Arabidopsis thaliana: one gene and its partner. The protein of the gene in region 1 interacts with the protein of each later gene in a pairwise test. Each region holds a gene or a part of one and is shown on either strand. Other genes may lie near its edges. The genes, in order: MBD02 and AT3G04930.

Region 1 (4,858 bases):
TAGAAGAACTCTTTGAAGCAGATGAAGCACGATTGATACAAGGTTAAGATTAAGATCACAACCGTCCCCTGATGTACTAGGCTGGAACTACACAAAGCATGGGGAATACACATTCAAATCAAGTTATTGGCTCTGTACACATCTACCGAATCAACAACATGATTATGTTCCCCCACCAGGTTTACCCGAGTTTAAGAGAGTAGTATGGAAGCTAGACACGACACCAAAACTAAAGCACTTCATGTGGCGGATAGTAACTCAATCATTGGCGACAGGCGAGGCCTTGACACGACGACATATCATTTCAGATTCACAGTGTAAACGATGTTGTGCAGCTCCTGAAACATTAGAACGCCTATTCTTTGGATGCCATTATGTTCAAGCTATTTGGAGGGGCTCTCCGGTGTCACATACAGCGTTTTTCAATCCACACTTACCTTTTGAAGATAAATTCAGATTAATCCTTCAATGCTGTACTGATACGAGACAAGACCATATCACAAGACAAATACCTTTATGGATGTTGTGGCACATATGGAAGAGCAGGAATTTGTTAGTTTACCAGCGAAAAGGGAGTAATTGGCAAGATGATGTACAAAAAGCGATAACAGACTCATATGAGTGGATTCCTCTGCAGCGAGACACACAACGACGAAGTCTAAATGACAGAAGCGGGCAAGGGTAGCAAAAACCTATTCACGGCTTTATCAAATGCAATTATGACTGCAGTTTCTCAAGGAATGATCTAGCACCAAAGGCTGGTTGGATTTTACGAATTGACACAGGCAGTTATCTACTTGCGGCTCAAGGTACAAGACAACTATGCAACTCAGTGCTAGAAGCGGAACTACAGGCTCTCTTGATGGCAATGCAACATACATGGAGTAGAGGATATCGAAAGATTATATTTGAAGGTGATAATAGGACTGTGGAAAGCTTACTCAATGGGAACACAAGGAATTTTGAACTTCATAACCTCGTCATGGAGATACAACATTGGCGGAAGAAGTTTTCTACTGCCATTATCAAATGGTCTTTCCGGTCAACTAACAAAGCAGCTGATCGATTAGCTAAAGTGGAGTTAGAAAACATTGTTACTTTTGTCTCTCATTCTTATGTACCTCTGTTTCTTGTACAAATCCTCCATAGGATTACACATCATCCCTCTAATAAAGTATATCTGTTAATGTTAAAAAAAAATAAAAAAAAAAGAATCGGTTATTTTCGGGTTTTAAACTTAAAAACCAAAGAAACCAATATCCGAATCGAACCGAACCGTAATAAATTTCGGTTAGTTTCGGAAGAATTTTCAAAAATCCAAAATAACCGAAACCCGAAATAACCGACTCGGTTCGGTTCGGTTTACCCGAAGTCGCAGGCCTAATATTTTATATCAACAATTGACATATATTTTGACCCAAAAAAAAAAAATCAACAATTGACATATATTTGTTTTTATTAAAGTTTAATTTACATATTATGGAAGTCTCAAAATATTTGTTAAACAATGGCAAATATTTGTTAGACATATTTCATCTATTTAGCATGCACAACACGAATCCATATCTAATATTAGAAAGAATTATCCTTTGATTCTTTTTTTCTGAAGGAAATTTTGATTAATGGTAAGATTTGTTTATAAGCCCAAAAGCACAAATATTCTCCTACTTATAGCATGATATATTTTGAAGTGAATGTAAATTAAGAATTATTTTCGTAACAACAAATTTTATATTTATACAAAATAAATTAAATTCAGTTTCTTTCTCTCTTCTCTTTCTCGGTTTCCCCATTTTCTATCTAGACAAAGAGTGTTGTCTGAATTGGCTCTGTCTCAAAAAATGAAATTCTCAAATTAACCACAACGATCTTTAGAGCCTTCTTCGCTCACCGATCTCTGAAACCCTGGTTTGCTCTCGTCCTCTTCGTGTAACGATTCTTCTTCTTGATAAATTTTTAATCTTTGTTTCGGCTTTTCGATGAAATTGTTTTTTTTTTGGATCTCGTCTCTATCAGCTCATGTTCTTCTTTGATTATATGATAATTGTTGTTTCCTTTGCTCTGTTTTATGATTATTGTTGATTTTTGAGATTGAAATGTTCGAGGGTTTCTACTGTTCACTGTTCTTTACACGTATCAATGTTTTCTTGATCATGTTCTCTTATGATGTTAATAGAGAGACTAGTGTTATTGTGATGAATGATTCTTGTTAACTAAATTTGTCATTTTTGTTTTCACTTGACATTCATTTCTCTAACCATTTATTATAGGTAGTTTCTATGAGTATGTCGCAGTCTCGAGCTGTCCAAAGATCGTCTTCACCTAATGAGGATAGAGGTGAGAATCAGTTAGTGGTTTATGACTTGAAAGGAAATGATGATACTGAAGAAGAAGTTCTACCGGTTCAATCTCAGCCTTTGTCATCTAGAACACAGTGTCCCTCTATCGGGGCATTTACGGTTCAGTGTGCAAGTTGTTTCAAATGGAGACTCATGCCTTCAATGCAGAAGTATGAAGAGATTAGGGAACAGCTTCTTGAAAACCCGTTTTTCTGCGATACAGCGCGTGAGTGGAAGCCGGATATTTCTTGTGATGTTCCTGCTGATATCTATCAAGATGGAACTCGTCTTTGGGCTATTGATAAACCGAATATCTCTCGTCCACCCGCTGGCTGGCAACGTTTACTGCGGATTAGAGGTGAAGGAGGTACCAGATTTGCTGATGTGTATGTCGTTCGTTAACTCTTCTCTCATTTATGTTAATATTAGTCTTTCTTCTTTATACCATTGTATTGGCTTTCTTTATCATTCTTTTATCTTGGTTGTTTCAGTTATTATGTTGCTCCGTCTGGAAAGAAGCTTCGATCAACTGTGGAGGTCCAAAAGTTAGTTTCTCTACCACTCCATTTCCACATTTTCGTTTTCACATTTAACAAAGTGTTCCTTACTTTTATGTTTGATGAGGTCTCACTGTATCAGTCTTACCATTTTCGTCAACCAATATATTGAATCAGTAGGAACCTCAAGTATTGTTCTGTGGTCATAACTAGAGTTAGGCACTTATGCAAATTACAGAAATCCTTGCATGTGTTTTGTTTACTAACGAAAATGTACTATGCCAAGAAGTTAGTTAAACTATCATCCTTATTTCCATGATACTTCCCTGCAGCATTTGAGAGTGACAACAATGGTAGGAGAAAAAAGCTTAGTGACTTACCAATTCGTTTAGTGATTACCAAATTGTTTTCAGTGACGTATAGCTAGCTTCTTTACACCCTTATAACCACTATTACTGGTTTGCAGGTACTTGAATGACAACTCCGAATACATTGGAGAAGGGGTGAAACTTTCACAGTTCTCGTTTCAAATCCCGAAACCGCTGCAGGATGACTACGTGAGGAAGCGCCCAGCTCGACTACTGGATTCCATCGATAATACAAACACCCCTGTAGCTAAAGAAGGTGTGTTGCTTATCAAGGCACATAAATATAATTGTGGTTATCTTTTGTATCAAGGCTTTAGATTATTGATGTCATTTTTTCAGTCAAGAGTGTATTTGACGTATACTCGAACCGAACATTGGTGTCTTTAGGGAACTTTATTAACATGAAAACGTCTATGCTTTTACAAGTTTCTAACATTTCGCTTGTCTTGTTATTTTTCAGCTAATCCACTGGCATGGATATCTCCAGATGATCATATATCGTTGCAGCTAGGTACGCCAACCGAGTCTGGACTTAACAATTCACATTACCAACCATCGAAAAAGAAAAAAACATCGACGCTATCAATCTTTGGCTCCAACGACGAACTTGCTGATAGATAATCTAGCTAGACGAGAGTGAACTTATCTCGTCTTCTCTGGTATATAACCCGTCTTCTTTCTTCGTTTTTTGGGTTTGTCTTATCGAAGAAACTGAAAGCATGTGGTTAGCTTGTTTTTTGTGTATACCATCTATTTTGTTTTGCAGTGTAACATACTTTCTATGAAGAAGATGGGTCCTTTTGGTTTTTGCTTCCAAATAACTGGATTTTCATGCTGAAAGTTTTTAAACCTAAAGTTTGATTATTACCAAATTCCATTATCTCACAAATCCACTAGAGGACTGACACAAGAAAGCAGATAAGAATAGATCAGAGTCTGTTTAACTGTAGATGTGCATGTTAAGTTGGAACGTAGTTTATCTCAAAGGATATTTTAACGACATCCAAAAGATAACATTCGAAAGTCAAAACCATCCTAGGGGAGATATGGCTGAAGCTATTAGTTTGGTAAACATACAACAACAAAACTATGCCATATCTCTAATCTGCGCAAAAGGCAGAAACAAAAACTAACAACAAATCTGCCTTCTACTATCCTGCTTCGTGCATTCCCTATTCAGTTTTCCCGTGGTTAAGCCGTATCATCGGAACCAAGTGATGGGAGTGGGAGTAGTACTGACTTGAGGAAGCTGCGGAATCATACAGTTTTGCGCTTGCTGCCACGGATGCAAGCCAAAACCATAGGTGTGCTCTTGCTCTTGCTGCTGTCCTTGCTGAGGGAAAGATAGACTGGTGCTTCCAGTATCCTCTTCTATCTCATTGGATGCATCATCCATTACCACATCCTCACCTGTCTCATCCAACTCAGTAATCTCTAGTGTCCGCGGTTGTTGGAAGGTTCCTATGGACTGTGAGTAAGTAGACTGAGACGGATTCCAGCAAACAACAGCTTGACACTTGTTTAATCTCTCATCTTCATACTGATTATCATCAGCTATCGATACATCGCGAAGAAATCTATCTGCACAAGTGTTAACATTCAGAATTTAGACACAACCGTCTGTATTTAGTCAACATTCTGGATCACAAGTTAA
Region 2 (4,625 bases), on another chromosome or scaffold:
TCCTTGAGAAGTAGCAAAAATGGCTGAAAAGGCGGTCACCATCCGAACCAGGAAATTCATGACCAACAGACTTCTCTCCAGGAAGCAGTTCGTGAGTTCCATTATTTTTTTTCTCTTCTCTATCTGCATATCATTTTTGTTCTTCTGGGTTTTGTTTTAATGGGAATCTAGTTATAATTTGATATGAACCCAATCTCGAGAGAATGCATTCGTTGTCTCGTCAAATTTTTATAATTGGGGTTTGATGTTTTAGGTCAGGCTTTCAGATTTACGACCTAATGTTAAAGCATAGATAGTGTTTAGATCATATAGTATTGATCTGGCGCAATTTAGTTCCGTTTGAGATTTTGGAATGAAATTCTAAGTTATGGTGGATTGTTGAAAATATAGGTTATTGATGTTCTTCACCCTGGAAGAGCCAATGTTTCAAAGGTTTGTTCTTTACTCACTTTGTTACTTCATCTATTTCGAGTTCTGATAGACTATGAGAGGTTCTAACGGGAGAGTTGGTTTTATTTTTGCAAGGCTGAGCTGAAGGAGAAGCTAGCAAGGATGTACGAGGTCAAGGATCCAAATGCAATCTTCGTATTCAAATTCAGAACCCACTTTGGAGGTGGTAAATCATCCGGGTTTGGTTTGATCTATGATACTGTTGAGAGCGCTAAGAAGTTTGAACCCAAATACAGACTTATCAGGGTAAATGCTTTTTCCACTCTTGTTTCCATTGTTATATATTGCTACTCACATTGACCCGTCTTAAATCATTACTCTTGCTCATTACTGTTTGTCTGAAAATTATAAGCTATGTGATAAGTTTCGGACTTTATATCGTATTGCACTTGGTGTTCTCTGCATCTTTATACTTAAACATGCTTTGTCTATGTGGTTGGCAGAATGGACTTGACACTAAGATTGAGAAGTCAAGGAAACAAATTAAGGAAAGGAAGAACAGGGCGAAGAAAATCCGTGGTGTTAAGAAGGTATGTATACTGGTTTTCCCTCTTGCTATCTTCTGTTTTTGATTGTGACTGTAGCTTTAAGAATCTGTTTTGATCAATGTTTGCAGACAAAGGCTGGTGATGCCAAGAAGAAGTGAGATCCTGAAGAGAGAATCTTTATCTTGTGGGTTCTTGTTCTCCATAATCAATCACCTTTTATGTTATTTGTCCGCTGTTAGATCGTTTCTCCAACTAGACATGTTTACTGAAATCTGAGATTTTCGTTTATTTTTGTTTTGGTCAGTTTATGTTTTGAGTTTAGAGAAACATATGATCCAAGGTTTTTGTTCAATACAACTATTTAATCTCTCTCTCGTCTCTTTCCACCATTCCCATGCGCAGCAGATATAAGCATTTTCTTGTTCCTTAGGTGATTTAATTCTTGATCGGTTACTCGTGCGGCTGTGTTTGATTGTAAACGTGAGTCTCTCTGGCTATTATCGATGTTATTTACCCACATATAATGAAAATTTACTTAGATCATAATTATGAAATCTCGCAAAGTTTCTAATTTATTATATCACTTTTGCTCCTTACTATTTTAATGGAAAAACTGTGATAATTACATGTCAATCACTGAATTTGAACAGTAATTATAATTTTCTATACCGCACAACATATGCTTATTTTGGTTTTGGGTACTGTCTTATTAGTTACATACGGTTTAGGTTGGCTTGTTTGTTTGTTTTGTCCTAGCTAATCACGTTAATGAAAACGCTCTACCAAATAACCGCGTTTAGAAAACGCTATTAGTTACCGAGTGTGGTTGGGACCGAGTGAGGACGTCACGGCTCCAACCAATCCGCAAATAAGGAAGCGCGTGTGTGTAAGTAGTGGGTGACCACTTTGCCTAGTCTTAAACGTTAAGTCTGGAAATACCAAAACTACCCCTGGTTTGGTCGAAGATTCTCACGCCCCTACCACCCAACCCAATCACAATCCTCGTGAACGAACACACCACCTTCTCTCCAATCTGGATCTGGTTCCTCTTCTTCTTGGTCTCTTCTCCATCTCATCGGAGCTGATCTCGAATTGTTCTCCGTTCATTTGTTACGGTGGAGATGACATCGGATCACCGCGACGCTCTTTTCTCTCTGGAACTGGAATCGCCTGATCCGGACGAAGGAGGTGTAGCAGACGGAGGAGAATCTGATACCGACGAGGATTTGCGCGACAACGATGATGTTGTTATGCCGGGAACGAACGAAGCTGAAGCTGAAGACGACGATCCCGAAGAGGAAGATCTCAATTCTCCGTCTACATCATCACTCCCCATGGTTTCTACGATCTCAGCGACTGCTGTTGTTTCCGGGACCCCGACGGCGACTTCCTCTACAGGCGCCGTGACCGTTGCACTTCCGGCTGGATCCGCCGTCCCTGTCTCCGTGATTCCCGTTGATTCCGATCCGAAGTGGCACCGTATGACGGAGATCGTCCATCAGAGACCACCGATCGATGATTCTAGACGCCTTTTCCAGAGGCTGTGGACAGACGAAGACGAGATCGAGCTTCTTCGTGGTTTTCTCGATTACATGACGATGCACCGCGGAAGCAGCTCGCATCCGCCGGATACGGCGCCGTTTTATGAGCAGATAAAGTCGAAACTTCAGCTGGATTTCAACAAGAACCAGCTGGTGGAGAAGCTTCGGAGATTGAAGAAGAAGTACAGGAATGTGATGAGCAAGATCAGCTCTGGTAAAGAGGTATTCTTCAAGAGCCCTCATGATCAGTCTACTTTCGAGATTTCTAGAAAAATCTGGAACCAAACTGGGAAAATCATAGGCTTTGAAGATAACAACGTAATGGATTTCGAAGAAACCAATAACCATCATAACACCACCAATGGTAACTACTCAACCTTTAACAGCCCTAGTTCTAATCCTACTCTGGAGCTCGACTCCGAAAATGGAATCGAGAAGAAATTGACAATGAGTAGCAGTAGCGTGTCGAGAAAACGATCACGATCAAGAATTGGGAAGATTGAGGAAGACAACAAACCTGTCATCACTCCCTCTGATGGGCCAATAGCTAGCAATGTCAACCTCAACGAAGCTGCAGCTGTTGGTATTGGAGGAAATCTCGGGGGTTTGATCGAAGAGACTGTGAAAAACTGTGTCTCTCCTGTGATCAAAGAGATGATGAATGGGACAACAAGTATGATGATGGCTGCAATGGGAGGAGGGTTTCCGGGTCTTGGTGGTGGTGGTGGTGGTGGTGGTGGTCATGGTTTTGGCTCGCTAAGCCCCATGTTTACACGGCCGTTCAATTTCGGTTTTGGTGTAGAGGGAGGAGGAAACAAGGCGGTTGCAGATGAGCGGTGGAGGAAACAACAGATTCTGGAATTGGAAGTGTATTCAAGGAGATTAGAGTTGGTTCAAGAGCAGATTAGAACGACATTGAACGAGTTAAAGACGATGCCGAGTGGTATATGATGAAGGGCGAGAAGAATAAGACAACAAGGAACCATTTAGGTTGATATTTGATATCTTTGAGTTAACCTTCTGGTGTGTGAGTGAGTATAGTAAGAGATTTGGATCTTTTTAAGTTATAAATTGGTAAGGTATTGTGATCTTTCTCTAGGTTTTTTCATCATTTTGATTTTTTTTTCTTCTTCTTATCTTTAAATTATTTGTCAATAGGGATGAATCATAGGAGGGGGGTTTGTGTATAACCTTTTGTATTAGATTATAGTTCTTTTTTCGTAGAATCATTTGTTCAATAACAAACAGACTTTCTAGCTGTTTTTCTTTCAAAAAGAAGAAAAATAATAATTCTAAATTGTGTGCTACTCTTTCTTTGTCTAATAAAATCTGTAATAACATGTTTATTTCTAGATCGGATACTGTTATTGAAGTGTATTAAACTTTGACCTCTTTCTTTATCATGTTGATTAATGTAGTTACTTAAAAACTTTTGTGTTTGAAAAAAAGAACCAATGTTGTGTTTCTTGCTAGTACGCATCAGAAGATTCCTTTCCTGATTAAGTAAAAAAAAAAAGGCATAATCAAAACAATTTAAAGATTCAAGAAGGCAGAAACTTGTCCACGTGACGAGGCAAAGAATGTTAGGTAGGTTTGTTATTGACTTTATAGTTTATACAATGATTTTAACAAAATACCTATGGAAGATACATGATTATTTTTTATAAATGTATAAACGAGTGGATATATTTGGTGGTGGATGATGGTGTGTGTGTATATGCAAATAATTCACTTTATAAAAGCTTATCGCTAATTTGACAGAACACTAGAACAGTTCTCTCTTTTTGTCGACAGTCTTCTTCTTCTTCTTCTTCTTCGATTGGATCTGGAACTGGTAAGCTCTTCTATAAGTCTCTGGTTTTGTATCTTTCGAACTGTTCTTTTGTTTCTCTCTCCAAAAATTTCAAACTTTCATAATTTCGCCTCCTCAAGTTCGATTTCAGCTCAAGAACACGAATGCTTCACTCACTTGTTTCATTGTTAAATCTTATATTTAGTTTGATACTCATGTTTTCTGCTGTTCGATTTTTTTTTTTCTCTGATTTATATTCGAGTTTGAACTTAAATCATGGTTTTGGTTTCACTTTACAATTTTGGATCTCATGCAGTTTCAAAACACTCTTCGATTTATATGAATGTTTTATAT

The links.
Region 2: the proteins of MBD02 (region 1) and AT3G04930 interact in binary tests that used the Arabidopsis thaliana proteins (3 or more experiments, as listed by UniProt).

What each region holds. Positions count from the first base shown.
Region 1 is NC_003076.8:13,522,692-13,527,549, reverse strand, and holds MBD02 (methyl-CPG-binding domain protein 02), read left to right. Parts: upstream 1-1,751; 5' UTR 1,752-1,929; exon of another isoform or gene 1,930-2,274; 5' UTR 2,275-2,279; coding exon 2,280-2,725; intron 2,726-2,830; coding exon 2,831-2,884; intron 2,885-3,302; coding exon 3,303-3,460; intron 3,461-3,664; coding exon 3,665-3,825; 3' UTR 3,826-4,147; downstream 4,148-4,858. Other genes in the region: AT5G35320 (DBH-like monooxygenase), read right to left, coding at 4,406-4,785. UniProt on the Arabidopsis thaliana protein: Probable transcriptional regulator.
Region 2 is NC_003074.8:1,360,970-1,365,594, forward strand, and holds AT3G04930 (DNA-binding storekeeper protein-related transcriptional regulator), read left to right. Parts: upstream 1-1,527; 5' UTR 1,528-2,059; coding exon 2,060-3,430; 3' UTR 3,431-3,650; coding exon of another isoform or gene 3,651-3,682; 3' UTR 3,683-3,830; downstream 3,831-4,625. Other genes in the region: AT3G04920 (Ribosomal protein S24e family protein), read left to right, coding at 20-91, 391-432, 526-696, 894-980, 1,067-1,096.